Pelodiscus sinensis: one gene and its partners. The protein of the gene in region 1 interacts with the protein of each later gene in a pairwise test. Links are inferred from orthologs where the notes say so. Each region holds a gene or a part of one and is shown in the gene's direction. Other genes may lie near its edges.

The links. The genes of interacting proteins can lie anywhere in the genome.
Region 2: the proteins of MAPK14 (region 1) and SUPT20H interact in binary tests that used the Homo sapiens proteins (3 or more experiments, as listed by UniProt). The link is inferred for Pelodiscus sinensis from reciprocal best matches to the Homo sapiens genes MAPK14 and SUPT20H.
Region 3: the proteins of MAPK14 (region 1) and DUSP1 interact in binary tests that used the Homo sapiens proteins (3 or more experiments, as listed by UniProt). The link is inferred for Pelodiscus sinensis from reciprocal best matches to the Homo sapiens genes MAPK14 and DUSP1.

Annotation. Positions count from the first base shown.
Region 1 is NC_134737.1:12,871,678-12,879,389, forward strand, and holds the start of MAPK14 (mitogen-activated protein kinase 14), read left to right. Parts: upstream 1-4,697; 5' UTR 4,698-5,178; coding exon 5,179-5,294; intron 5,295-7,712. Other genes in the region: SLC26A8 (testis anion transporter 1), read right to left, coding at 2,227-2,396. UniProt on the Homo sapiens protein: Serine/threonine kinase which acts as an essential component of the MAP kinase signal transduction pathway.
Region 2 is NC_134711.1:294,784,933-294,792,590, forward strand, and holds the start of SUPT20H (transcription factor SPT20 homolog), read left to right. Parts: upstream 1-4,639; 5' UTR 4,640-4,775; intron 4,776-5,518; exon of another isoform or gene 5,519-5,645; intron 5,646-6,226; 5' UTR 6,227-6,321; coding exon 6,322-6,324; intron 6,325-7,658. UniProt on the Homo sapiens protein: Required for MAP kinase p38 (MAPK11, MAPK12, MAPK13 and/or MAPK14) activation during gastrulation.
Region 3 is NC_134727.1:18,126,212-18,133,078, reverse strand, and holds DUSP1 (dual specificity protein phosphatase 1), read left to right. Parts: upstream 1-3,848; 5' UTR 3,849-4,188; coding exon 4,189-4,558; intron 4,559-4,705; coding exon 4,706-4,854; intron 4,855-5,062; coding exon 5,063-5,282; intron 5,283-5,810; coding exon 5,811-6,181; 3' UTR 6,182-6,867. UniProt on the Homo sapiens protein: Dual specificity phosphatase that dephosphorylates MAP kinase MAPK1/ERK2 on both 'Thr-183' and 'Tyr-185', regulating its activity during the meiotic cell cycle.

The DNA of each region.
Region 1 (7,712 bases):
CTCTCACCCCACCCCACCCCACACGTACTCCCTGCAGCCATGTCCGAGTGGCCCAGAGTGCTGGCGCACGCACTGTCGGGCCACTGTCGTGCTGCTCGCCCTCCTCCCTGAGACGGTGGCGCTTCAGCGGGAGTGCGGGGCTCGGATGCCCCGTCACAGGATGATAGTGCTTTGATTCTTGCTATTCTGATGAAAGTAGAAATCTGAACATCGTAAAATCCTTGAAAACTGGGGCAAAAAACAATTTTAGTCACCTAGTCCATCTATCAAGGGAACAGTCCAATGTGTTTCCTGTACTATGTTCTGTAATATGGGAATGGCAGACTAATGGATGTCAGACTTAATGTTCTTAAGAATGTAAGTACAGCCATACTAGGATTAGACTAATGGTCCAGGTTAGGGATGTAATAGTGTAGTCGATTAACCGATTAATCAATAAGCACAAGCTTACAGATTAATGCTATAGACTACACGCATTTCCCTCTCCCATTCCCTTGCAAGTAAATATTTTAGCAGGCTGGCCAGCAGCCCAGCTCAGTCCTGGCTCACGCCGGGTCCGGGACCTAACCCTCCTGTGGCTCTTCATTTAAAGTATATTACGAGTCAGGCAGCCCAACTTAGTTCTGGCTTGTGCTGTGTCCAGGCGCTCCGACCCCCCTAGATAGGGTCTGCTGCTACCCCAAGCTGCTGTGGACCAGTTCCTGCCTGGCACCTCGTGCTGCTGCCTCTGATACAGAGGTTGCCAGCCCCGCCAGCAAGGGGACTATTGACTAGTTGACTACCCGATAAGAATTCATGAGGTTACTCGACTATTCAATTAACCGATATTTAACATCCCTAGTCCATGTAAACCTAATACCTTGTCCTCTAACAGTAATCAGTGCTAGATGCTTTGGAAGGAGTGAACAGAACCAAGTAGGTCTGCTGTCGAGTGGTGGTGGTGGCAGCAAAGGGCAACTGCTCTCAGGCCCAGTGATTCAAAAGAGCCTGGGACTTCCAGCCACCGCTGCCACAGCAGCATCCAGAGCCCTGGACGCTTTAAATCGCCACTGGAGCGCCCAGGTGGCATATAAGTCCGGAATGGGAAGAACAGGCTGGGGTTATATTAACTGATACTGAATGTGCATACTCACCTTACCCATCCTAGCAGGAATATCACAGTGCAGCAACACAGCTACAGAGTAAGGCAGAAGGAAGGTAGTACAAGTTCTGCCATACTCTTAGGAAATCTTATCTCTAGTCGGGAACTGAACGTGGTACTTGAGAGAATTTAAACAAAATAGCAAACACAATTGCCAGAAAAAAACCAGTGTAACTTTTTGTCTGTGGCTGCCAGCTAGGATTGAAGGAAGGTGCAGAGGAGTCTGAAACAATTAGCAGAATCCATCCACACTATGCAGAGGTACTCCATTATCACAACGGTGAAATGAACAGACTATTGTGGTTTGTTGGAAGCGACTCTCCCAGTGCTGTGGTAAGCTTGACTCACATGGCCTTAGACGTGGGTGACCCCCTGCACACTATCATTTGGGGTAGGGGTGAGGAACCTTTTTTGGGTCGGGGGCTGGTGACCTACAGAAAATTTAGTGGGTGAAAAGTGCAAATCTCCACCCAACTCTCACTGACATGGCCCCCAAATGAGAAGCAGAAAGACACTCCCCACATCCTCCTCACACGCCAGAGCCTAAGGGGGGTCCAGGCTAGTAGATTTTGTGTGCTCAAGCCCTGTGGTGAGGTGGTAGGGATGGGGGGGGGGAGGCAGGGGTAGAGTGCTAGTGTGGTCACCCCAGTGCTGGGGGCAGGAAGGGAGTCATGAGCCAAGGGGGCTGGATTCATACAATCTGGGGGCTGCATCCTGCCCCCAGGTTCCCCACCCCTGATTTGTGGGCACTAAATCTTCCATTCAGAAGTCACATATCCTTGTTTGGTGTATGTGTTTTTCTCAACACTTTTGCTTGATGACTTTTGTTTTGTTTTGCTTGGTTGTTTGGAGGGCCACAAAAACATTTTCCATCTTGGGTGGCAAACACATACAGCAGTCTCTGCTTAGCTGCTCCAAACACAGAGCACTGGTTTGGCACTTTGATTCGGTTTGTATCAGTCCCCTCTGTGTTTTTGTACTGAGCTGTGGGCAGCAGGAGGGTCAGTAGTTGCGTTTAGATTGGTACCTGACCAGGCTCCTCAGCTTCTTCATATCTGCTAAATAATTCCTGGCATATTACTCACCGGCAGTGTACCCTTCGTTGGACTCGGGGGAATATGAAGTCCCTGTTCCTTAGGGAGGGTGTGTTTCTCTCATAGTTCTTTTGAAAGTGCTCCTCAGTGTATATGCCTCTCTTGATTTTGTACTTCCCTAGCTGCCTGGGAGCACTGACAGTCTCAGCATCTGGCTCCATGCAGTCACCCTGATCATGGACAGTCAAAAACACAGGAATAATGAAGGCAAGAGGAAGGAATCAAAGCCACTGACATTACCCATGACACTGAAGATAAAAAGGAGGGTCATTGAACTGGAGTGTCCCATTGAAAAGAAATGTTTAAATGACTAAGCCCAGGGAAAAATCCATCTCTGATGTAACTCCATCTGAGAAGGGTGCTGAAACAATTTGTACAAGGGGGGGGGGGTTCTTCTGAGAGCCATTGAACCACACTGTGACGCCTGTAATGGCCACCACTTCAAACCTGGCGGTGCAGCATCACCAGCACTTGTGCACCCACGCCGCGGGTGTCATGCCAGGGCAGTGTGGCCGGGAGGTCCTCTGTCCACGGAGCAATGGTGGCATAAGTGGCAGTGGTGTTAGCTCCCCCTCTGCTGTTGCAGCCCCCAGGGCCACTTCATTGGGGGTCACAGGACTCCTGTCCACAGATCCCTGTGGCCGGGCAGCTCTACAAAGGGACTGGGGGGCACTGACCCCGGCTCCCTGCCGGCCCCCCCCACTGGCCCGGCCCTGGGCGGGGACAAACTCCGCGCATGCTGCCGGGAACAGGGGACCCCCGCGCTCACCTGCGGCAGCCTGAGCTTCGAGACACGCGGGGCCGCCGGGCCTGGCCAACTGCCAACCCCGGGGCGGGGCGCGCGGTGCTCGGGATACTCCCCCCGCTCCTCCGCGGCGGCCAGACCCCCCCCCCATGGAGCGCCCGGCTCCGCTCCCCCCAGCGCCACGGGGAGCCCGGTCTGACCCCCCCCTCGGGGCTGTGCACTGGGTAGCGGGATGAATGGACACGTACCCGCTGCACGCCGCGGCGCGTAACGCACCAACCAGCCACCCCCCAGCCGGTGTTTTAATGCCCCCTCGCAACGCAGGTCGTGGGTGTCGGCTGCACCCCCCCCCCCTTTTCCAAGCCGCGGGGTGACTGCGGGGCCCAGCCACCCGGGGAAACGTGCACGAGAGAAACACAGGAACGGGGACTGCACCCCCCCCCCCCCCCCCGCGTCCAACCAAGGGGGCGCTGCGCTCAGCCGCTGCGGGGCCGTCCAGGGAGGCGCGTCCGTCTGGGGCAACAGCGCCTCTAAGCGTCCTCCCCGCCTGCCCAGGGAAATCCAGCGGGGTCCAGGCGAGGCCCCCGCCCGTGACCGGCAGCCTGGCCCCGTGACAGTCCCCCCGCTGGTGCCTGACTGAGCGCGGGCCTGTTCTCAGCACAGGCCGAAGCCCCACGGACTTGAACAGGGGCCTGCAGCCCAGCCCGTAGCAAGGTGCGGGCGTGAGAACTGCCCCCCCCCCCCCCAAGGCAGGGGCACAGTGCCCAGAAGGGGACACGGCAGACACACTGGGGCAGTGGCAGTGCCCCCCCAGGCAGAAGCAGGGGCACAGTGCCCCCCCCAAGGCAGGGGCGGGCGGGAGGCGGCAGACACACTGGGGCAGGGGCAGTACCCCCCCCAGGCAGAGGCAGGGGCGGGGACGTGTCCCCCCCCAGGCAGAGGCAGAGTACCCCCCCCCCGGCAGAGACAGGGGCACAGTGCCCAGAAGGGGACACAGCAGACACACTGGGGCAGTGGCAGTGCCCCCCCCCAGGCAGAGACAAGGGCACAGTGCCCCCCCAGGCAGAGGCAGGGGCACAGTGCCCCCCCCAGGCAGAGGCACAGTGCCCCCCCCAGGCAGGGGCACAGTGCCCCCCCCAGGCAGGGGCACAGTGCCCCCCCCAGGCAGGGGCACAGTGCCCCCCCCAGGCAGAGGCACAGTGCCCCCCCCAGGCAGGGGCAGAGTGCCCCCCCAGGCAGGGGCAGGGGCACAGTGCCCCCCCCCCCAGGCAGGGGCAGGGGCAGAGTGCCCCCCCAGGCAGGGGCAGGGGCAGAGTGCCCCCCCCGGCAGAGGCAGGGGCACAGTGCCCCCCCCGGCAGAGGCAGAGGCACAGTGCCCCCCCCGGCAGAGGCAGGGGCACAGTGCCCCCCCCAGCAGAGGCGGGCGGGAGGGGACGCGGCAGACACACTGGGGCAGGGGCGGGCACTGGCTCTGCACGGCCGCGGGGACGTGGCCAGCCGCCAGGGCTGGGCAGCCAGGCCGGGCCCCGCGCCAGCGTCCTCCCCTGCGGCCAGGCCGCGCGGCTCTGCCTCGCTCCGCCCCCCGCCGGGTCGCGGGTCGCTCTCGCGAGACAGGAGCGCCCGGCCGCTGGTTCCATATTGGGTCATAGCCGCTCTTCGCGCCTAGGCTCTCGCGAGGCGGGGCCAGGGGAGGGGGCGCGATCGATTGGTCTGCGCTCCGGGAGGAGCAGGCGGCGCCGCCTGACGCAGCCTGGGCAGTGCCACTGGGCCGGGAGGGGGAGGTCACTCCGGCATCGCCCGCGTCGCCTGCCCTGGTCTGTTTGTGAGAGGAGTCCCCCCCCCCCCCCCGCCACCAACTCACATCTGGTGCCTTTAAGGACCCCCCCCCTTTCCTCCCGTCCACGCGCTGTCCCGCCCCGTGGGGTGACAGCGCCGCGGGGCGCGTGAGGAGAATCCCAGCCCAGCTAGCGCGAGACAGCCCCGGGCGCCGCTGCACGAGACACCCCCCGGCCCGGGGCGCGCGGAGGCTGCCAACGGGGCCCGGCCCGGGCCGTGCTGAGGGAGCTCGGAGCGGGGGGGGGGAGGGGAGGTGCAGACCTGTCCCCTCTCTAGGGGGCAGGGGAGGAGGCGTCCCTGCTGGGGCCGCTGGCGGAGTCCCCCCTCCCGCCTGGCCGGGCGGGGCGGGCCGCGGAGCCGCGATGACTCTGGAGCGGCCCAAGTTCTACCGGCAGGAGCTGAACAAGACGGTCTGGGAGGTGCCCGAGCGCTACCAGAACCTGTCCCCGGTGGGCTCCGGGGCCTACGGCTCCGTCTGGTGAGTGTGTGGGGGGGTGTCTGCCAGCCTGAGCTGCACCCCTTCCTCAGCGGGCTCCGCTCTCGGCCTGGGGGGGTAGGGAGTCTGGCCTGGCTTCTCCCCCGCTCCTGCATGCCGGCGGGCGGTGCACGTGCAGGGCGCTGAATGAGTTGAAGGGGAGCTGGGGGGGACCCCCTCAGCTCGGGGGGGGACCCCCTCAGCTCGGGGGGGGACCCCCTCAGCTCGCTGGGGTTCATTCCCCGCCTTCTGCCCCCGGTCTGATTGAATCGGCCTTGCCCACGGGGGATTTTCATCCCTGGGTTAGTGGAGAAACCGCTGCAGAACTAGTGTCTGGCTGGTGCTGTGCCCCAGATGGCACCGCATGACAGGGGCTGGTAAACGCAATTTCAGAGTCTTGTCTAATATTCCCTCTAGTCTTTTCTGTTCATGGACCATTTTTTCTAACCATGAGCTGAATAAATTTGTATGTGAACCAAGACATGTAGAAGTGGTGAGGGAGCTCGGAGGCGGCCCGAGGTCCCCTGAGGGGAGGTGCAGACCTGTCCCCTCTCTAGGTCCCTAAGTCCCCATCACATCATTGGAAACAAAACCTAGCTGTAAGCACTGTGAATCAGCTCATTGGCATTGAATCTCTTTAGTACAGTTTACAGGGAACACTCCTCTTGTCCCCCTTTTCCTCCAGGATATTAATGCACAAACTTTCCTCCTCCCCCACTTGAGTTACTGAAAGGTGGAGTGTGCCAAATCCCTGCAATTTGCTTTGTAGAACAGGATGACAGTTTCATCTTGGAGCTGCAGAACAAGTTGCATTTGGGGTAACTTTAAAGAGTGATTGGTTGTTATGTGACAATGAGATGGTGGAAAAGGTTGTGAGGTTCTCTTTTTTGCCTTGCCAGCAGTGCTTTTACAGGTAACAATTGGGCATGGGAGGTTAACAGAGGGGAAATTTTGTGGTCTTTCCTGATTGAGAAAATTAGGCATTAGTCCTGCTGTCAGATCTGTGAAAGCGTGGACATAACCCCAAAGAAAAATATTCTGGTCTTTAATCCTTAGTTAAACTAATACAGATAAGATGTGTATAACCAATACACACAAGACGTGTATCTATAGTTTGAATTGCTTGTAATTACAGCAGCATAATCAAAGATGCTGAGCTCCCATGGTATATCAAGTATTTTTGCTCATTTGCTAATGCAACAGTACTTATTAGTTTTGTTCTTCAATAATATAAAAAAAGAAATGAGTTGATCTACTTGACTATCCTCAGTGGTGTTGTCAAATCACAGTGATGCATGAAAGCTTTTTTAGGTGGCTTTACCGTTTTTTAAAAGATACATTAATGCTGTATGAACACATATAGTGTCTAAAGTTTTTCACCCACTATGTCAAACCCCGATAAAGATTTTGTAATAGTGCTTCCACACAATGGTCTCCTAATTTGTGATGTGAGCATGCATTAATGAAGTTATATGCAATTTGTAAATTTATACCTATAGTGCAGGGCTCACAATAAATATGAATGAAGAAAAGTAATTGCTATGTATATATTGTAGCTTTAAAAAAACCTGTCAGATGTTTGCTTTTAAAAAAGGCTGATTATATTCTACAATATTGTTCCATTTAAATAAGATCTATTAAAACTGCTTTGTTTGTAGTAAAGTATATTAAGCATTTGTCTTTTATACTTTGTATAAAGGTTAAACAGGTTCTAGCAGCATGAATAATTGGTATGACAGCTGACTAACCGAATGCATTCCCCCTAAATTTTTGGTATAGAAATGCTAAGTGTAATTGTAGTACAGGCAGTCCCCGGGTTACATGGATCCGACTTACATCGGATCCCTACTTACAAATGGGGTGAGGCAACCCCGCACTAGCTGCTTCCCCCCCAGCAGACCAGGGAGACGCGAAGCTAGCCCCGCCCCCCCAGCAGATCAGGGAGATGCGGAGCGGCTTTTCTCAGCAGACACCTCAGCTTGAGAATAAAGGATTGAGGGAAGTGAGGTGTGGGAGAATAAAACTGAGCTCTGGAGAAATGTTTGGCTAGAGTTTCCCCTACAATATGTACCAGTTCCGACTTACATACAAATTCAACTTAAGAACAAACCTACAGTCCCTATCTTGTACGTAACCCGGGGACTGCCTGTACTGTACTAAGATAAGAGCTTGACCTTGCTGGTTGATGATTATTTCCTGAGATGATGAGTTGAGGGTGCTCAGTGCCTTGCAGCAGGGTCAACACTAGAAATATAATGAGCAAGATCTCCTCCTACTTCCAAACCCCCATTGTGCTTTCAAAAAAAAAATGCTTGCATTACTTAAAAATATTTCCTTCCATTACCCATATAACATAAGGATTTGCATCATTAACTTCCTGTTTCAGAGTGTCGGAACCTTCAGAGATTGTGCAATTGCATT
Region 2 (7,658 bases), on another chromosome or scaffold:
GAAAGAGCGTGTTTGCTCTTCCACTAAAAAAAGCAGAAGAACAAACGCATCCCTAGATGCAGAAAAGTTTTTCTGGGATATCTCTGGAATCCTGAAAAATTCCTGCAGTCTAGCTGGACCCTCACTGGGTCGAGACAGGATGAATAGGCTCTGGGGTGGGAATGAGGGATTTGGGTGTGGGAAGGGGTGAGAGGTGCAAGCTCTGGGAGGAAATCTGGATGCAGGAAGAGGAGGAGAAGGGGACGCTGGCTCTGGGAGGGAGCTCCAGGCCAGGCAGTATTGGGTCAGATGGAGGGTTGGGGTATTAAGCAAGCCACAGGCTTGTGGATGTGAGGGTACAGGAATTTGGGTTGAGGTATGTGCGGGGCTCAGGGCAAGGGGTTCCAGTGTATGATAGGCTCAGATCTAGGGTCTGAGGGAAAGGGGGGTGCAGGAGTGTTATGATGCTGTGGGCAGATGGGGGCTTCATCCCAATTGGGGGTTTGTTGGCCAGGCTTCATTTTTAAATAAAATATTATATCAAACACAAAAAGTTTCTGCGTTGTCTTTATTTATGAGAAGGGCAGGGAACCTGTTTTGAGTCAGGGGTCACTGACCACAGAAAAGTCAGTTAGGGCCACACAAGTGAGATACAAAAAAATAACACCTCTAAAAACACTGAAGCCTCACTAACGTGGCCCCAACAGTGCTGGTGGGAGCCGGGGACATGGTACTGGGGAAGGGTGCTAGTGGGTGCTGGGGCAAGGGACAGGGTGCCAGTGGGGACAGGGTTCTGCGGCTGGAGGCAGGGGAGAGGGGACAGGGTGCCAGGAGGGCAGGGGACAGGGTTCTGCAGCAGGGGACAGGGTTCTGCAGCAGGGACAGGGTGCCAGTGATGGAAAAGGGACAGGGTTCTACAGCAGGGGACAGGGTGCCCTGCACCTACCTCCTCCCAGGACTCCCCCCTCCCCTGCAGAGGAAGGAAGCCCTGTCACACGCCTCCTGCTGGGCCGACGTGCTCTCCCACAGAGCAGGGAAGCCCTTGTCATGCGCCCCATATGGGCCCGACTCCCCCCTCCCGTGAAGCAAGGAAGTCCCAGCGCGTGCCTCTGGGGACTCCCCCAGTTAGGGTATGTCTACACTACCACCCTAGTTCGAACTAGGGTGGTTAATGTAGTCATACGAACTTGCAAATGAAGCCCAGGATTTGAATTTCCTGGGATTCATTTGCATGTTGCCGGGCGCCGCCATTTTTAAATGTCCGCTAGTGCAGACTCCGTGCCCGTGGCTACACGCGGCACAAACTAGATAGTTCGGACTAGGCTTCCTATTCCGAACTATCTGTACACCTCGTTCCACCTGGGGCAAGGAAGACCTGGGGCAAGGAAGCAGCCAGCACATTTCCGGAACCCCTGAAAGTGACACACAGCTCAGGACTTCCGTCCACCCAGCGGGAAGCCACCACTACCTCCATTGTCACTAGAGGTAGGTAGTGGGACATCTTGGTGGTGGAGGGAAATAGGAGGCCCGCAACGCCTTGCGATCGACTGGTCGAGGCCTCGCAATCGACCGGTCGATCGTGATTGACGGGTTGGTGACCACGGCACTATGCTATATCTTGTTTGTTGTCTTTGTTGTACTCTTATATATAACATAAATGTTCAAGTAAAGCAAACAGACAAATTACTTTCCATCTCTGTCATCAGTTGATTTGTAATGGAATCTGAGACCAGCCCACTGCTTCTGGCTCTTGCAATGAGGGAGTCAAGCAGCACAAAGATCCTCATTGTTTGGAGCACCTGCGGCCAATTAATATCTGCCACCCTTACCAATGTACACCAAGCATACTGCATCAAGTAATGACTCAAGCTGTGTCTAGACTGTGGGCTTCTTTCGGAAGAAGCTTTTCCGGAAGACATCTTCCGAAAAAACTTCTTCCGAAAGAGAGCATCCACACTGCCAAAGCGCATCTGCCCACACTGAATGGATGCTATCTCACAGGTAAGCTGTGGACAGAGTGGCCACGAGGGCACCTGTGCTTTTTCCTCTTTCCTCTTCTTTTGAAAGAACTCCCTCTTCCCCATCCCCAGATGCCTTTTTCTGAAAGAGCCCTTTTGGAAAAAGGCTTCTTCCTCGTACAAAGAGGTTTACCAATGTTAGAAAAACCCCTCTGTTATTTCGATTATTTTCCCGAAAGATCGCAATTGAAGTGTGGATGTAAATGAAGGGTTTTTTTGGAAAAACAGCAGTTTTTCTGAAAAAACTCTGCAGTGTAGACATACTCTCAAGCTGTGTCTACACTGCACCCCTTTTCCGGAAAAGGGATGCAAAGGAGACAAGTCGGAATTGCAAATGAAGCGGGGATTTAAATTTTCCCCGCTTCATTTGTATAAACATGGCTGCCGCTTTTTTCTGGCTCAGGGCTTTGCCGGAAAAAAGCGCTGGTCTAGATGGGGATCTTTCAGAAAATAAAGCCTTTTCTGAAAGGTCCCTTATTCCTCTTAAAATCAGGAATAAGGGACCTTTCGGAAAAGGCTTTATTTTCCGAAAGATCCCCATCTAGACTGGCGCTTTTTTCCGGCAAAGCCCTGAGCCGGAAAAAAGCAGCAGCCATGTTAATACAAATAAAGCGGGGAAAATTTAAATCCCCGCTTCATTTGCAATTCCGACTTGTCTCATCTGCATCCCTTTTCCAGAAAAGGGGTGCAGTGTAGACACAGCCTCAGAATGAGCATTAGCCTGAATGCTGCATCATGATGGGAGCTGTTCTTGAACATCAGCCTCCACTGGCTGCACCTGTTGGCTTAGAGATGGCTATTTGTAGAGCCTGCAAAACCATGGATATCATCTTCATACCAGCAAGATAACTCTAATGAGAATATGAGATATCTGCAGATGTGGATAGCTACAGACCATTTTTGCAGATCATGTATAGATGCAGATCAAATTTCATACCTAAAGCCCTGTGAACCTACAGGCATCTGTGATCATTTTTGAGGATTTTGTATCAGATGCAAATACAGATTTTGTACCCATGCAGCATTCTAGCTATTTTCAGGGTTTGTACTGGAGAATTTAAATGTAAACAGGTATAAAATCATGAGTGGTGTGGAGAAAGTGAATAAGGAAATGTTATTTACTTGTTCCCATAATATAAGAACTAGGGGCCACCAAATGAAACTAATGGGCAGCAGGTTTAAAACAAATAAAAGGAAGTTCTTCACACAGCACATAGTCAATCTGTGGAACTTCTTGCCTGAGGAGGTTGTGAAGGCTAGGACTATAACAGGGTTTAAAAGAGAACTAGATACATTCATGGAGGTTAAGTCCATAAATGGCTATTAGCCAGTATGGGTAAGGAATGGTGTTCCCAGCCTCTGTTTGTCAGAGGGTGGAGATGGATGGTAGGAGAGAGATTGCTTCATCATTACCTGTTTGATCACTCTCTCTGGGACACCTGGCATTGGCAACTGTCGGCAGACAGGGTACTGGGCTGGATGGACCTTTGGTCTGACCCAGTATGGCCATTCCTATGTTCTTATGATTGAATTCTTGTGCCCCCTTTGCCTCTAACTTCTGCACAGTGCTCCCTTCATCCCAACCCCTACACTTTCCTCCCAGCTGTGCCACCAATCCCCAACCCATGTCCTGCCACACTGCCCCCCTACCCAGTACCCTTCACCCCCTTTTCCCAGCAATGCCCGGTTGCCCCTCACCCTCTGGCTATGGTACCCTGGGCATGGGCCCAATTTGCCCAATTATAAGGTCGGCCCTTCAACAGGGCAGCGACCCGCCATGCGGCTCTGTCCCCATTCCCGGCCTCTGGAGCTGCCGTTGCTGCCTACCACACGGTAGCTCTGGCCCCAGCCCCAGTACAACCAAACCCTAGTGTTCCCTGTAAGCCGTGCACTTGTGCAGCCGCACAGGAGAGATATTATTAGCTCACAGACATTTACCTCCCCCCCTTCCCCCCCTCCATCCCCCTTCTGTTCTGCAATGTGATTTGTCCTTTTCATATGTGTTCATTTTTTTAAATTGTATCCTTTGGTATATATGGTTGTGCCAATTTTCTTCCACTGTTTGATCTGAGGAAGTGGGTCTGGCCCACGAAAGCTCATCATCTAATAAACCATCTTGTTAGTCTTTAAAGTGCTACATTGTCCTGGATTTCGTTTTAGGTACTGAAATGGTCACCCTTACTATGCTAATCACAGCCTTTAACAGAGTTGCCCCCACAGCGCCGGTGAGGTAGGGAAGTGCTATGTCCATGTTCCCTATTGAAAGGGTTCCACTGATGGGGAACTGAGGCCCAGAAAGGGACCATCCAAGGCACTTCGGCTCCTAAGAGCTGGGTTTAGGAGACGTGCCCAAGGCGGCAGGAAGTATCTGTGGCAGAGCGGGAACTCAGAGGTGGCTGCCTGCAGGCTAGTGTGGGACCCACTGGCGCGCGGGGGAGCTGCAGGGGTAGGCGCCTGCGCGCCACGCTCGATACGCCTGGAGGGAAATAAGGGCTGGCCCCAGCGCTGCCTCGGCCCCGGCCGCTGGAGGCGCTCTCCGAGGGGGCGGGGGAGCCGGCGGAGGTCACCACCAGCGCTTGGTCACCGTGGCAACAGGGCAGGGTTTCTCCTCACCCCTCCCCGGTTTCTAGGGTAACTCTTCCCGCCCCTTCCGGGCCGCATTCGGAAGTGGTGGAGCGGAAGCAGCGGCGCGCGCGGGGGCCGCGGGCTGGGGGGGGGCGGATGAAAGGGCCGCGGGGGCAGCTGTGCGGGGGCCAGGACCCGACATGAGGCCGGCAGGTACGGGGAGGGGGGCGCTTGTGTCCGGCGCCGGGTGAGGTGGCCTGTAACCCTCCGCGTCCCCTCTCGGGTCGGCGCCCTCCCTCCGGGGCCGGGCCGGGCCTCTGGGCCTCCCAGTGGCTGCTGGGTCCTGGGCCCTCCCCGGGGCGCCTGGGCGGCTCTCATCGCTCTCCCGGCTCTGCGCCTGCCTCCGATACCTGCCAACGGCCCCGCTGCCAGTGGTGGCCTCGGCCCCGCGGGGCCTGGCAAGGCCTGGGTTAAAGCTGCCTGCAGCCCACCCGCTCCCCGCGATCCCGTCCCAGGGCCTTCACCCGCCGGCAGTGCCGCCGATCTGGCTCCGAGTGCGGCCAAGCGCTGCCACCACCCCGGTCCTGTTCGCCTGTGTGCGGCTGTGAGTTGCAGAGTCTCGGCCCCAGAGATTGTCTCTTCTCATAGCTTGGAAAGTGACATCCTGGCCAGTGGCTAAAGGCCGGAGTTGTTGCTTCGCTGTTGGAGCATCACTTGCTTGTCGGATAGTGTGTCCCTAGAACTAGAACCAAAAAAATAAAAAAAAATAAACAGATTTCTAAAGGAAGAGGTTGGCTAGTATATAGCTAGTAACAGAGAGAGATACTTGGCAAATTAAATATAACCCGTCATTTAAAATGTGTATTAAAAAACTGTGTGGGATCTAAAATGGGTAGAAAATGTTTCCATGTTTCAAAATAAAAACCCTTGGAAATAGTTAAATTGCTTTCCTGCAGTGTTTTGAAATGCAACATTAAGAAACAAAACTGATATCCAGGGACTTTCAAGTCTCCTCTTTGAGAGAGTCTGAAAGGAAATGGAACACAATTAGTAAAAAGTAAACAGGATTTTAAAAATGTATAGGTAAGTAATTGTATTAATAGACTTTACAATTTCTTTATCTTATTTAATTCAAAAGTAAAATATTGCTAGACTTGATTAGTGTCTAAGGAGGTCTTGTGCTGAGTAAAATTGTTAGCACCTCAGTGGTTGGTAGTTTTTACCATCTCAAAATGGTGTGAGGAAGTATTGTTGGTAGAGTTGCTGTTTTTCAAATAATACATAAAATCAGAGCTGGCTCTTTGATACATAAAATAAATGTCCTGATCATTCTATTAGAGTAAAATGGGATATTTACTCTGTCAGAGACATAAGTGCTATGGTATTCTGCCAAGACACCGCAGGTATGGGTAATTGCATTTGGCCGTGTAGTTTATTTTGATTGATTTTTGTCTTACTCTTGAGTAGTTGTGTTGATATGGAGTGGCTATGCTTCATTTGCAGGATAACAGGTGTCAATGGTGACTACTTTATTAGTGAATTAGAGTCTATCTATGTAAATAAAGTCAATATAATCTGCCATTAAAATATTCAGTTTAAATAACAGTATTGCTTGTTTAACTTAGCTGGTAATTGTATTTCTCCTTTCCTCTCAAACTTTACAGTACCTCACGTGACCCTAAAAATATGATTGTTTGCCTACTGCACCAAAACTCTTAAATATTTCATCTGCCATTTGGAAACCCTGGCTTCAACTACAATGGTAAGATACAATTGAAGTAATATTTTTCATAACTGTTTTACCTTCAGGATGGTGGGTATTTGGCAGGTGAAGATAGAAAAGGAAAACTCCTTTGTGTCTCTGACATGCTCAGATATGTGACTTAACACTGTAACTCTCTCCAGCTGATGGTTGGGCTTCCTATGGAGCTTATGAATGCTGCACCTAAATCAGTCAGTCACTTAGGGCGCATCTAGACTACATTCCTCTTTCAAAAGAGGAATGCAAATGAGGGAAATTGAAAATGCAAATGAAGCGCTGATTTACAAATATCCCATTTAATTTGCATAATCTCGGATCGCTTTTTCAGAGGAGACTTTTTTCAGGGGGGAAAAAAGAAAGAAACAGTCTAGATGGGGTTAAAAAAAAAAAACCTTTTTTCGAAAGAACCCTTATTCCTGAAAAAATGAGGTTTACAGGGTTCTTTTGAAAAAGGGTTTGTTTGTTTTTTGAAAGAACCCCGTTGAGACTGCATTTCTTTCAAAAAAAAAAAAAATCTCTTCCAAGAAAGCAATTGAAAGAGATTATGCAAATGAAGCTCGAGATTTGGAAATTAGCCCTTCATTTGCATTTTTATTTCCCTCATTTGCATTCCTCTTTCGAAAGGAATGTAGTCTAGACGTACTCTTAGAATAGAAGATAGGAATTGTCTCATTAATCCATTCTTGTATCCCACAAACTAGATGATTCAGAGGAATATGTAAGCCCTACTCACACATCTATAGCAGACAATTAAGCAGTAACATGCCATAGGTATTTTCGTAATGTCAAGCAATCAGTGGATAGAGTGTACCTAAAATCTTGTGGATTGATATCTCATATGCATGTATCCTAAAATAGGGATGTGAACAGCTAGTTGACTATCTGATATGCAAATGCTTATCAGATAGTCGACACATTAGTTGCTTCCCCCTTCCCCTCCCTGGCTGCCTCTATTAAAAAGAGGCAACAGGACGGGGGAGAGCAGCGGGTGCTTCAAAGCAGTGGAGTCGCATGGATCCTGGGGCCAGACCCTGAGCTCCATGTTCTACTGCCACTTTGAAATGCCACGTGCAGTCTGGGCCAGGCCACACGTGGCATTTCAAGGTGGCAGTGCTGTGTGGAGCCTGGGTTCAGCTGGGGACTCCCCCCTCTTCCCCTTCTCCCCCACCCCCGACCCTGGGCTCCATGTGCCACTTTGAATGCCATGGGGCCAGCAAGGGACCGTACTGACTCCCACTCTTGTACTGTTGCCTCTCGATCAGCTGGCTTCTGGGGTGCTATCTGCTGCCCTGTGCTGCAGGTGCATGTAACCATGTAACCACTGAAACTTTCAG
Region 3 (6,867 bases), on another chromosome or scaffold:
TTCCACCTTTCTCCTCCCTGAAATGATTTTTGAGTATTTACTTGTATATGCAGTAAGTAGGAATTCTGCCAAGACAATTCTCTAAGGGCCTCAGTTCTTGGCCTATTCTTTCTTGAGTGGTTGTGGATTAGACTACAGAAACCCCCTTGGGTGTGCTGATCATGCCTCTAATGTCTGCTTTCCTGCCCTTTGGGACTCTCTACCACACTGTCCTGCTGGGCAAGACCCTGTGTCTGCCCCATCCAAGGCACAGAGTTGGGGTTACTGCCCTCTGCAGAGCAACAGAGATGCTGAACCAGCTCAGCTCCAGGAGCTTGGCTATAAGAACTCAGTATCCAGGAAACCAAACCACAAAAGGGACCAAAAGCCCAAATAAATCAGTTTTTTACCAAAGTTTCACACAGAGAAAGCTCATAAAGATGCTTGCCTCTTTATCTATGAAAGAGGTATGCACAGTGATAGTTTCTTCCCCCCCCCCTTCCCCTCCAGTAACAATTATTTACTCTGGGCTTGATGATAAACAAAAATGTTTTATGAAGTACAAAATGTAGGATTTAAGTGATTACAATGAAAACAGTCAGATCAAAGCAAGTTACTAAGTTTAAATAAACAATTCAAAAATACTAAATATACTCGACATGAAAATTATTACCCTAAACAGTTGTTCTAAACATCTTTCACAAGCTAAGCAGCCTCCTAGGTTGGGCCTAGGATTCTTCACCCCTACTCGATCTTAGATGTTTCCGAACAGGCATGTTAGGTGGTAAGTGGCATCTCCTGGCATCTGCCCCTTTTGTTTGATTTCCCTCACCCCATACCCTTTTTGCCCAAGGCGTGAATTCTGTAATCATACAAGTTCAAACTTTTCTCACCTTGAGTGGAAAAGTACAGGGTCCAAAATGGGTTTCAGCATCACGTGGCCTGGCCACAAGTCCTATGACCAACCACAATTTGGGCTTTTAAGAAGAATAAGCCATTCGTGGGTTGTTGGTTTGAATACTGAGCCATTATGTTTCCACAGCATCAGTAATGGCCCTTATTAGCACATTCAGATTTAAAACCAGATTCACATTTCATATTTCTAACTTCACATACAAGAATGATACATGCAAAAAATTAAAATATACAGATTCAGCAGACTGTAACTTTAAAATTGATGTTACATGAGATATTTTAGAGTGTCTGAGTTAAGTATACTCATAAGCCAATTTTCATAAAAGCATGGGGGACATAACAGTGGGTTTTGTTTTTTGTGAAAAGACTATTACTAAATTTATTCTTGATAATTATCATTATTATTATTCCCCTAAAAGAGCAGATTGTGAATACATGGTCATTAAAATTTGAATTGGAGTATTGTGCAGAGTGAGGTTTATAAATAATAACCTTGCTAATGTCAACATTGTATGCAGCACATACAACAGATTATGTGACCTATTCTGATCAAATAGCCACTTAACTGTGAGCAGAATATTTCACTGATCATGCTTCTTGGGCATTAATGATTCACTGGAAATGATGTGTTGTACGCTGCCTCCATGGTTCTAGTAACTGAGTAGCTGATAGAGGGCTGGAACATCAACCATTGGAACATATGAATCCTTCACACACAATCTGTGTTTAAGTCATGGTGTTGTTAAAATAGCAATAATAAATAAACAGAAATGAAAAAGTGCAACCCTGTTTTTATTTTTAAGGAAAAAAACAGATTTGCTTTGAATCTTCAGCTTTGGCAGAGGAGTCATGGTTTGGCAGAATGGAGGCAATTGCACAATCAGTTAATCAGTTTCAGACTGGCAATTAGTCAGTTGTCTGGGGGAGAAAGGTCTGGATGCTGTGGGGCACTTGGTCAGATACAGATCAGCAGGGAAGTTGAGAAGGTTGTAGAGCCCTTTTTTGTTTATGGATTGACAGGGAGTTACAGAGGAGGTTCTGGAACATTCTGAAGCAGCTGGTCACTAATAGTTTGTCAGGAGCCAGTGCAGAAGGCTCTGGAAAGTCCCAGAAAATTGTGGCAGTCTGGGGTTTAGAAAGTGTGAGAGGCTTCCCCAAAGCAATTTGAGGGTATTAGAGGAAATGAGAACAGGGAAAGTTTGTGTTGAAAGATGTAGCTAGAGAAGAAGGATGGTAAGAGAATACTGCTGCCTATAAGGCAGAGAAGGAAAAAGCAGTAGTATGGAGGTAAGAGGACGGGAGAAGCAGGAGTCACAATGAATGGCCAATAGGGAAAAGGGACTCCAGAGAGATTTGCTCTACATCTAGACAGCAGCGCTATTTTGGGATACCGAAAGTATCCCGAAATAGCAATTCCACATTTTTAAACATGCCCGTCATTTCAAAATATATTTTGAAATAATGGACACACTATTCCAGCGTCCCTGTAATCCTTGTTCCACAAGGGTTAAGGGACTTGTCAGAATAGCACTTTATTTTGAAATTAGGCACGGGGTAGATGGCACCAAGTTTAAAAATAAGCTATTTCAAAATTACCTCAAAATAAGCTACACAATTTACATATCTTATTTCAAGGTAAGGGTGCACCCCAGGGGAGCCTTCTTCCCCATGGGTAATAACAGAGACAGAGAGAGAATACACAGAGAAGGGAAAGACAGGCTGTGAGACTACATAAAAATCAGGCACCGAGGACGGGGAAGTGAAAATAACTGTGATGGGAAGCTCTGAGCAAGAAATACTCCAGTGGGTTGATAAAAGCTGATCACCCACAGGGAAAAGTAACTTTTGGGAAGCCTTACTAATTGGTGAAGGGGGGAAAAAAACTCTACTGCCAGTTATTTCGTAGCCCTGATTTCAGTGGGAATTTTGAGTATGCAAAGAATACAGTCCCAGGACTAGAGTTTAGTTACATTGTTTTTTCTTTCATACAAAATACAGGAAATATTCCTCTGCATATATACACACCCCCTCTTTCTTAGGAACCTCAAATATATATTTAAAAATTGCCCATTCCTCTTCTCACCACCCTGTAATGTTTTTCTGAATACTCCTTTCACATGCCAGATGTATGTCAGTATGTGATGTGTGTGTGTAAGCCTAAAGTAAATGTCAGTAGGGGTATGTGTGTATAAGCCTAAAGAGACATAAGATGAAGAATCTGTGCTGGCAATCATATTCCTATTCTATAAAGCTGTGGTCTCCACCACACTAGCCACATTTGGCAATTTAGCCACTTGAGTGTGGTTAGTTCGCTTTAGCAATAGCTACTGCAGTGGCTACTGCTTCAGAACTGGTTGGACACTACAGCTATAAAGGAATATGGACATGAACTAATATTGTTTTGAAGAAAGGAGGAATCACTATTACTTGTGCTTTAAAGGAACCTCACTTAGCTTCTTACCAGTGTGGGGTCTATGGCACTGAGTGGAAGAGCTCTAATTCCACCCAGCAGAGGGCAGTTCGAGAGCGACTGTGCCTAGCCACGGCATCACACCAGGCCTGAGGGGAGTGTGTGTGAATCCTCACACACCGACCCGATAAGAGACTGCGGAACAAAAAGATGAACAAAGCGCGTGTATGTTCTTCGGCTTTCCGCTGTACATTGTGTGCCGAGGGGCCCGGTGGCTGCTGCCCGTGGCGTTGCAGCGCGCAGGGTTGCATCAGTCGATTTCCTGCCGGCTCAGGATGGAAGGTGTGTGTGTGTGTGTGTCTGCAGTTTGCACTCCAGCGACTGCTGGCGAGCCGATGACGTGAGTGCTCCCGGGCAAGGGAGTGTCTGCCCTACGCCCCTCCGAGTGACGTCAGTCTGAAGCAGTCAGGTGACCCAGGCTCATTCACAAAAAAGGGGCAGGCCGCTCCGCCGCGGAGCCTATAAAAGGCCGCGCGCGCGCTGCAGCCCGCCAGGACCCTGTGAACAGCGGGAGCAAGAAGGGGGCACACAGAGCACTCGCGGACCCAGCCTCCATTGCAGTCAGAGGCGCTTCCCCTCGGACCCGGACTCTGCCTGTGCGGGCCGAATTACACACAAGAAATTGCCGAGACGCGCCGCGCGGTTGGTTTGTAAAAAGCGCCCCGAGAAGCAACAAAGGAGCCGGGAGAGGAAGCCGCCCCCGCGCTCACACAAAGGGGACCCGCCCTTGGACCTCGAAAGAGACCCACCGCCCGTCCTCCCCCACCTCCCCGCTCCTGCGTTTGGGGACCCGGACCCTGCCCGCCCGCGCCGCGCTCCGAGCGATGGTCAACATGCAAGTGTGCGCCCTGGATTGCGAGGCGCTGCGGGGGCTGCTGCAGGACCGCGCTGCCCAGTGCCTGGTGCTGGACTGCCGCTCCTTCTTCTCCTTCAACTCCGCGCACATCCTGGGCTCCGCCAACGTCCGCTTCAGCACCATCGTGCGGCGGCGGGCCAAGGGGGCCATGGGGCTGGAGCACATCATCCCCAACGAGGAGCTGCGGGGCCGCCTGCTCGGCGGCGGGTACCAAGCCGTGGTGCTGCTCGACGAGCGCAGCTCGGACCTGGAGCTGCCGAAGCGGGACAGCACCATTATGCTGGCCGTGAACACTCTCTGTAGGGAGGCCAGGAACACGCGCATCTGCTTCCTCAGGGGTGAGTCCGGGGAGCGCTCAGGGCGGGGGAGAAGGGGGAGACTGTGCCAGCCAGACACTATCTGGCCTGTGTGTTCTCAGGGGGAACAGGGCATTTACGCCTCACCAATGCTAACAAGACTTTCCCCGTTTTCTCTCCCCATTCCAGGAGGGTACGAAGCCTTCTCTTCCGCCTGCGCTGAGCTGTGTACCAAGCCAACCGCTCCCACGGGCCTGAGCCTGCCTCTGAGTGCCAACAGCATGCCTGGCAGTGCGGATTCCGGCTGCAGCTCCTGTGGAACCCCGCTCTATGACCAGGTCAGTAGGAAACCTGCTAAACAAGAAAGGGTCATTTGAATTGACTATAGCCCTTAAGGCTGGGCATCTCCAGAGGTGATGTTCAGACACAGAAAAGATAGTGAAGAGAGCAAATGTCTGCTTGCCTGCATATAGCAAAAGAAGAGAGGCTACTTTAAACCACACAGTGCAATTATCTGATCCTCTTCCTTTGTCTCTTCTTGTTTAGGGTGGGCCAGTGGAAATCCTACCATTTCTCTACTTGGGCAGTGCCTATCATGCCTCCAGAAAGGACATGTTGGATGCTTTGGGAATCACCGCCTTAATCAATGTCTCAGCAAACTGCCCCAACCATTTTGAGGGGCATTACCAGTACAAAAGCATTCCAGTGGAGGACAACCATAAGGCTGACATCAGCTCCTGGTTTAACGAAGCCATCGACTTCATAGGTAAATGAGTGTTCTCTGCAGCCTGTGCTTCCAGAGAATCAGCTTGCATTTCCCTTGAAGTAGAGATCTCAGTGGAAATCTCTAGCCCAGTTTAATCTTAAAATACATGGGAAGCTGTTTCCTCAGGGATTAAAGTAACATGAAGTAAATCTGTAGCTATCTTATTTGGGTCTGTGCTCTCTACGAGGCTGTATTGCTAACTGCTGAAAGGATTCTTGACTTTATAAAGCAGTTAGTAAATTTAGCCTGGTATTCCACCAGTAGGTTTTGATTTCTAAAACAGTGATAACTGTTTCAAACAAGTGTCAGAGGCTGAAAGAAACTATTTGTATCGTTGGAATTAGTTTTATTCGGGATAGAAATCCTTAGGTGGTTGTTTACCTCAGGACAAGTGTCTCTTTGTCTGAAGTGCCATGCACACCTTGAGTGCTGGGGAAAGAACAAATTCAGAAATAAAAGCTCATGTTTCTGTAGCATTGGAGGAACCGGACCCATGTATTAACCATGTCATTTAATTGATTATTTCAGATTCTGTTAAAAACGATGGTGGAAGGGTATTTGTGCACTGCCAGGCTGGCATCTCTCGCTCAGCAACCATCTGCCTTGCTTATCTCATGAGGACCAATCGAGTCAAATTAGACGAGGCCTTTGAATTTGTGAAGCAGAGGAGAAGCATCATCTCCCCAAATTTCAGTTTCATGGGGCAGCTGCTTCAGTTTGAGTCTCAAGTCCTAGCCCCTAACTGCTCCGCAGAGGCTGGAAGCCCTGCCATGTCTGTATTGGACAGAGGAACGTCAACCACCACAGTCTTTAACTTCCCAGTCTCTATCCCTGTACACCCTTCATCCAGTGCTTTAAGCTATCTACAGAGTCCCATCACCACTTCTCCGAGCTGCTGAAGAATAGAGGAACATTTATTCAGAATACAAAAACTTGACTCTTGTCTAAAAAGTGCAATAACCATGGGGACAGTGTCTTCAGTCATGTGAGTTCGCATGGGGTTCCATCCATCTCAGAGTAACTTATCACAAGCACAAAGGGGCTGATGTGACTCCAGAGAGCTAGTTCTTCCTTGAATTTGCTGGCATATTTTTGACCAATATCTGGATGTCTACAAAGGAGACAAAGAACACAGAATGCTGTTTTCTTCTTCTGAATTACTCCTCCTTTGTCAGGTTGAAAAGACTAGTCCTTGTTCAGTAGCATACCCACCAGTATTCCCATTTCTGGACATTCTAAGCAACAGAGATTATGTTCCATTTTATATAAAAGTCCTGTTTATTTATTTTATGTAGAAGCATTGTTCTTGCCTTTACAAGCCTGAAGTTTCATTTCTAAAGAAACCAAATACCTCAGTATTTTTTGGGTACTGTAATCCTGTAAACACATCTTAAACTGTTCCCACTTCCTAAGCACTGACATGAAAGCACCAGATGAGTGCTTTTTTAGTTTCCAAGGGTTGTATGTTTGCTGATTTATTTATGATGTGAAATAATATATTTCTTCTTATGAAAGAAGACATGGTTTTGTTACATGATTATGACTTTTTATACAAATAGAATAAATTATGATTTTTCTAATGAAA